Linked DNA regions of Coturnix japonica. The protein of the gene in region 2 interacts with the protein of the main gene of each other region in a pairwise test. Links are inferred from orthologs where the notes say so. Each region holds a gene or a part of one and is shown on either strand. Other genes may lie near its edges.

The links. The genes of interacting proteins can lie anywhere in the genome.
Region 1: the proteins of regulator of G-protein signaling 19-like (region 2) and GNAI2 interact in a two-hybrid assay, tested with the Homo sapiens proteins (2 studies listed by BioGRID and IntAct). The link is inferred for Coturnix japonica from reciprocal best matches to the Homo sapiens genes RGS19 and GNAI2.

What each region holds. Positions count from the first base shown.
Region 1 is NC_029527.1:2,011,791-2,015,439, forward strand, and holds part of GNAI2 (guanine nucleotide-binding protein G(i) subunit alpha-2), read right to left. Parts: intron 1,158-3,649; coding exon 1,115-1,157; intron 736-1,114; coding exon 594-735; intron 291-593; coding exon 130-290; intron 1-129. UniProt on the Homo sapiens protein: Guanine nucleotide-binding proteins (G proteins) are involved as modulators or transducers in various transmembrane signaling systems.
Region 2 is NC_029535.1:8,388,104-8,391,787, reverse strand, and holds the start of regulator of G-protein signaling 19-like, read right to left. Parts: upstream 2,810-3,684; 5' UTR 2,654-2,809; intron 1-2,653. UniProt on the Homo sapiens protein: Inhibits signal transduction by increasing the GTPase activity of G protein alpha subunits thereby driving them into their inactive GDP-bound form. Binds to G-alpha subfamily 1 members, with the order G(i)a3 > G(i)a1 > G(o)a >> G(z)a/G(i)a2.

The sequences.
Region 1 (3,649 bases), on a different chromosome or scaffold from region 2:
GGTTCTATGAATGCAGCTTGGATGCTGCACACCTGGGGGAGAGCTGCCCCGACCCTAACATCACAGAACAGCTCCATAGCACAGCGACAGGTTGAGGAGGAGGAGGAGGCTGAGGAGGAAGGTACTCACTAGGCAGCAGAGTCATTCAGCTGGTATTCACGGGAGCGATTGAAGCAGGCCTGGACCCCATGGTCAGCCCACAGCCTGCGGATGACGTTGGCGAGGTCTTCAGGCATGATGCCCTGCTCCTCTGCAGTGCAGGCGAGAGCAAAGAGCTGGCGGGCATCATCCTGCAGCAGAACCAGGCATCAGTTCCACGAGCCCCAGGGATCCCCACCAACCCATCATAGATGCCCATAGGCAAAAAACAAAACAAAACAAACCACAGGAATGGTAAAAAATCACCCCTCCTATGCCAGGAAATGCACAGCTGTCCTCCCCATTCCCACCACTTGTACTTTGGGTTTTCCCTGCCTTAGGGGGTCCTGGAGTAGCAGAAGGGATTGGGCAGGGCCACCGGAGCCCTGGTTCTGCTTTGGAAGGCCCTGCTCCCAGAAGGGATGTGGGCACAGCAGGCTCACAGGGACACTCACCGCTCTGGAGGAGTCCCCAAAGTCGATCTGCAGGTTTCCCATAGCCTTGATGATGGCCATGATGGACTGGATGGTGTTGCTGTAGACCACGGCTTTGTACTGCCTGCACTCCTCCTCCGAGTAGCCATCCTCATGGATGATCCTGGGGACAGGGGGCAGGGTCAGCATGCCCGGCCCACAGTGACACCAGCCACGCTGCCACCTCCCCGTCAGGTGTTTGCTTTCACCATGTCTCACTGCTGCCGGAGTAACCGCAGGCACCCGAGCTCACCTCCCCTTCCACTGCCAGCCAATGTAATATTCATGCCCTGGAGAGCACCCAGCCTGGAGGAGCTGGGCAGCAGGGACATGGGGGCACATGGGACAGCAGAAATCCCATTGGGAGCATCCCAGCCTTTCTCAAGGCACTTTTAGCCACCACGGCACCGTCCTGAGCATCCCCAGAGCCCGACCCCGGTGTCACTGTGCCCAGATGACCCCAGCATCGCTGCAGGGACAGGGCAGGTCCTTGTGCTACTCACTTCATCTGTTTGACGATGGTGCTCTTCCCGGACTCCCCAGCACCTGTGGAAGACATAAGGCACAAGCCATGAGCTACATCCCAGGGCTACCGCTGGAGAGACCCCCATGGGGTGCACTGGGACCCTCAGTGCTCCTGCAGCTAAAACAGCCCCCAGGGAGGAGCCCAGAAAGCTGAGACGTCTCCACTGAACAGTCCAAGGGACCCAGCAGATCTAACCCCTTTTTCAGGGTGATTATTTCCAGCACAGAGTGAAGCACAGCACAGAAGTAGCACTGCCACCAAAGGGGTTTCCATTGACCAGAGCAGGGTTTGGTTTAACCCCGCTGGGTTAAACCCAATGGATTTCTAAAGCAGCAGGTGGGGACAGAGCCCAGAGCAGTGCCACAGCACCCAGGGGGTTCTGCACAGCTGGGAAAAACCCAGACAGCTTGAGCAATGTGTCAGTGCTGTTGGCAGTGCTGCTGTCACCCCAAGCATTGGGGATGTGCCACTCTGGCAGGCTGTGTGCGTCTGTTGCTCCCTCCCTCCCTCCCCATTCTGGGAGGGAGGAAGGAGTGAGGTCACCCGGCTGCAGAAAGGGGAAGCTGAAAGGGGAAGCTCAGAGGGACACTGCCCATCCCTTGTCCCTTCTCTGCACAGGGACAACAGCCTGGAGCAAACCCTCATCGCAGGAGCCCCAAGCAGTGCTGTTTGGGGGTGCCACATCCCAAAGCACAGCACTTGGTGCATTCTCTCTCATCCATCCCTGCGGTCTCTCTTTCTTTGGCCACCCTCCATGCCAGCCCTGTCCCCCCTGACCCACACAGCACCATGGGGGTGTCAGACAGTCCCCACATGCCCAAGGTGTGAGCACTGCCACATCCCTAAAGCAGAGCCACCCTTACAGGGGGCCCCAGGCAGCTCATGGCAGGGGTGCTGCGCTCCAGCCAGAGAAGGGGAAGAGGAGCTCAAAAAAATGGAGATTATGCTAAAATTAACCTGCAAGAGCACAGCCTGAGGTTGCAGCCAAAGCACAAAGGGACATCACCATCTGTGCTGGGACTCCAGGTACCCCATGGAAGCAGCAAGGGTCACAGCCCTGTGTCCTCCAGGCAGGGCGTCCCCCTGCCCACAGGCTGGGCCAGGAGGAGCTGCACAGCCCAGGCAGGACCCTGCATCCACCCGCAGCATCTTTCTCTGGTTATGGGACTCGGTGGATGACACATGTTTCTCATTTGGCCCAAAATATATGATTTGGCTGGAACCTCGCAGGCTTGACCCGACGGAAATAAAACTGCGCTCGGCTCGGCTCGGTGGATCGGGTTTCTTGCTTTCTTTCCACCCAGAGCTTCCCCTGGCTCCTTTGGAAAAGGAGCCCTGCAGCCAGCCACGCCACGCGGAAAATTGCTGCTCACAGCGGGGACGGAGCTTGGCCCCACAGAACCAGAACTGCACAAAGGGCACCGAGAGCCACTGCAGTGCCACCTCCACCTGGCTGGGCACAATCCACACTGACCCTGAGCATCTCCAAAGCGTATCCCTGCCCGGCACATCATCCCAGTCCACAGAGCTACCCCTATAGCTCCCCCCCCACTCTGCTGGCCCTATGGCACTGTTAATGGGGTGCAGGCATGACCCCGAGCCCGCTGTGGGAGCCCATGCCGGGAGGAGTGTGGGCGCACACGTGCGGAGCCGCGGCCTCCAAACCCGGCGTTGAGTCACAGTAGCTGCAGGGAAGGCATTTTTTCCTTTCGTAATCCCTGTTCAGCAGGAGTGCTCCGGTACCTCATTAACTCTAATAACCCCAGCCGGAGCGGTGCCACCCCACAGCACCCGCAGCAGCAGATCACAGCACAGCTGGGCAGTGACGTGGCACAGGCACAGCCCTTGGGCACGTGCAGAAGCTGGGAGTGCAGCCACCAGGCTGCCATGCCATCTCTTCCAAATCCGTTCCTTTGCCTCACGACCAGCCCAATAGGCCACTGGAGCGGTCACTGGTGGCACAGGGATGTGAGTAATGGGAGACGGAAGCCACGTGGTGCTCAGGGAAGCCAGCAAGCCATATAGAGGGGACAGGGATGGGGACAACCATATGGTGAGGGGAAGCTCCCAATCCCCGGAACACACCGGCTGCCGGCCATTCAGCCCCGACACAATCCATAGGCTGAGTGCCAGGCAGCACACGCTTCCGGAGCAGGGCAGCTTCCCACTGCTGGGCAGGACAGAGCGCTTCAGGGCTGGGGTTGTGGCTCTGCACCCCAAAGCATCGCTCCCATCTGTCCCACAGGGCCAGGTCCCAATGGGCACAGAGCCCAGGGCCCCAGGGATGCAGCCATGGTTGTTCCCAGAGCATACTACAAAAACAGGAAACAATCACCATCATCCACGAGGGGACAGGGATGGGTGAGGAGGGATGGGGTCAGCAGGGACAGTCCCAAGGCACCAGCTACGTCCCAGCCACCAAATGGGGTTTTCAAAGCACTGCACCAATAGCTGGGTGAAAACCACCCAGAATAAAGGGGGGTGAGGAGGAAAGAGGGGACTCCACATTTTC
Region 2 (3,684 bases):
CCTACCCTCTGTATTTCCCTCTGTCAGGAATTCCCCCCTTTTTTTTTCATGCCTGTGATGAATATCGATGCTGAAGCCCATAGGATTCCATTGTTCTCCTTGACTCTGCTGCTTCACCAGGGCTAAACCAAAGGCAAGACACTGTGTGGGACAGTAACAGCTCTGGGGCTGCCCCTCGTGTTCCTCCCCACACCCTTGGGTGCACCATGAGCCTGGCTTTGGTCTGAGCTGCATTTATACCCCAAAGCCATTGAATGCTGCATCCCCTGGTGCACGGCTGCCAGCACAAGGGATGGCATGAACACAGCTGCCCCCAGCCATGCACCAGCCATGCAGCTGCAGCAATGCATGCACAGCTGGACTGAAGGCATCCCATCCCTGCTGGAGATCTCGATAAGGCAACTCTGTTCTGCCACTGCTGCAAGGGATTGGAGACTTTCTGAGCACCCCCCGCAGCCCAACAGCCCCACCACAGCCTGCTGGAAATGTGCTCACTGCAACACGGCTCTCCAGCAAAATGCATGAGTGCATGGAGCTGGATGGGAGAGAGATTGGGATCCCTGGGATTGCAGGGGGAGAGAATGGAGAACAGGCAGATCAGCACCACTCCAGTGCCCATCAGTGATGGTAGAGAAGGGAACACGAGGGGTTGTGGCATGGCCAACATGTGGCAAAGCAAAACCAGAATGAATGGAGTGGACACTGCTGGAAATGGGCTGGGAGAGCTGATGGAGTGCCCAGCAATGGACGAGATGCCCACAAGGCTGAGTGCCATGGAGCTGGAGTGGGGATGGTGACGTCCCCCATAGAGCAGCTGCCAGGTCCAGGTTGCAACAGTGTGAGAGCTCAGCACTTTCCCCTCCTGCAGCAGCGTGGGATACCATGCACCGTCCTCTCCATTGGGTGAGAATCGTTACAAGAACAGGGAGCAACATCCAATTTCTCCCCCTCGAATGAAGAAGTAGCTATTAAATAACACACAGAACCAAATGCCTTTAGACCCACCCCCTCCAAACAAGCCTTTGCGATGGAAATGCAGAGACGTGCAGAGACGAAGAAGGAACTGAGTAATAGGAAGCAGCAGTGGGCACGGGGCAACACGGAAGCGGCCACGATCTCAGCACAGAGCTGCACCCCGTTATCAGCCCTGCTGCTGGGGTTCACTGCAAGAAACCACCCAGGGGAAGCACAGACCCCCACCAACATGGCTGAGGGATGGCACACAGACCCCGAATGATGCACGTCCGAGTCACCAAACCTCTGCTTCCCCACTGTAATTCTTCAGAGGTAGAGTTTGTTTAATTGCTGAAGAACACGACTGTATTTTGATTAGCGGCTTTGAGTCATTTGTGGGGAAGGGCTGAGGCGGAGGAGCTTGAAATCCTTGTAGGGAAATCTGATGTGGCTCTGTCCCCTGGGATGTATCCTGAGGTACGTGCCCACAGGGGCAACCCAATGCACAACACATCCACTGGGACAGCAGGCACTGAGAGCACCGGGATGGTGGAGCTGCATCCAGAGGGGAATCAACTCTCCTTGCAGCGGGGAAATCCCTCCCACTCACTTAACACTTTTTGTTGAGTTTCTTAAATAAGGCCATGGATCCGCGCCAGAGCAGCCTCATGGGGAGGGAGGGAGGGAGGGAGCTTCCCGGGGGATCCTCGCTGTGCCCAGGGATGCTGTTGGCCCTCTCCATCCCTCAGCCAAGCTGCCAAGCCCACGTGATGGGCTCGTGTTGGGCGACAGATAGATGATGCTGTGTCCCTACGGGGGAGCCACATCCCGGTCACCGGGTCCTCTGGTCATGAAGTCACCAGATCCCCCTGCCTGGTGCTGGAGGACCCGATGATGGCCGGAGCTCAGGCTCACCCTGACTTCAGCCAACCTTCCCATGCCACATCGAGGTCAGGGCTGCTGGTGGGGTACGGCACCCCCGGCTGCAGGGAGCACAAAGGGGACCCCGCATCCCACAGAGGATGCTCCAGCTCTGCACACCTGTGGATGCAGAGCTGGCCCTGGGGGATGACCACAAAACAGCCCTGCCCCTGGGTTGGGCAAGACCCGGGCGCAGCCATCCCTGCGGCGAGAGGGGGCCCCCGCCTTCCTCCTCCATCCTCCTCCTCCTCGTAGGGGCTCGGGGGCGATGGGGAGGAAGGGGATGAGAGGCGACGAGAAGGGAATCCCCCCCCCAGGCCCGGTGTGCTCCGTGCCCCCGCCCCGCCGAGCATCGCGCACGGGGCCGGTGTCAGGCGGTGACACACGGACACACGGACGCAGCCCTCCCTTTCCATCAGCGCCCCGCGGTGCTCACTGTGTGTGCCCGGAGAAGGGAGGAGGAAAAAGGGGGAGGATGCACAGAAAGGGGGGGATGCGTTGGAAAGGGGAGGAGGAGGGGGGGGAGAAGAGGGAAATCATGGAGAAAAGGGGGATCGTGCAAAAGGAGGGTGCGTGCAGGGGGGAGCGCGCACGTAGGGGCGGAAGGGGGAGCGTGACAAGGATGGGGATGCGAATAGGGTCCGGCTGCAGCATGCGGGGGGGGGCGGGCCGGGCAATACACGGGGGTGGCTGGTCTGTGTCCTCCCCCCCCCTCCCCTCCCTTCCCATCCCCGCCCCAGCCCCCGGCATCCCCCGGGCCGGGCTGTGGGGTACTCACGGGTCAGGCATCCGCGCCGTCGAGCAGCTCCGTCCGCTGCCCCGTGCCCACGGCCGCCGCCCGTGCGCTGCCCCCGGGTTCGGCACCGGAGGGAGAGGGAGAGGCAACGGGAGAGGAGCGGAGCCGAGCGGCTGCACTGCGCACGCGTCCCCCGGCCCCTGCGATTGACTTCCTAAAGCAATTGCAGCTTTGGCACTTCCTCACGTCAAAACACACACACACACACACACATACACGCACACAGAGCCCGGTCCCGTGCACTACACCGGCACCCAGAGCTGCTGTCACCGGCACCTGCACCCAAACCCAAGCTGCGTCCTGCACCACGTACAGGATCTTGCACCAGCACTGTGCACCCAGCACCTTCACAACCCAGCACTGCACACACACATTGAGATCTCACACCCAGCACTGGCACCCCAAACCAGCATCACCCCCAGCATCACCCCCAGACCATCTCTATGGGGGCACAAGGGGGGAAATGCCCCAACTCTGCTCCTCATTGAGGCTTTCCCCAAGTGCCTGGGGAAGGGAAGGAGCTGGAGGCATCCCCTGCTCATTGGGGCTGCTGGGAACAGACTGAGTTTCCCTAAATCACTTTGTTATTATTAATTACAGGGGGGTTGTGCGTTGCTAAAGACAAAGGGCGATAAAACTTTGGGAGAGAAAAGGAGGCATAAAAATTTCATGTTCTCGCCAGGCGGGGAAATTATCCCATTTTATTATTTAAAACCTCATTAAAACCCATTTCCCTGGGAGAAACGACGATCGAACCGCTGCTTATTTCAATCCCTGGGACGTGCACTCTGCTAATATGGGGGGAAGCATTGAGAACAGGGCCTTTGCTGAGCTGCAAACACTGAACGTGGCCCCATCCCATGCAAGCAGCATCTCAGAGCAGAGAGCTCTTCTCCTGCGTGTGCATCTCCTGCCATTTCAACACCTTCCTTGTTGGATTTGCCTATTTTTTCCTGCTTTTCCCCCTCAATCACGGTGCTGACCAGCAGTTTGCTCGGGGAGGATGTGCCCAA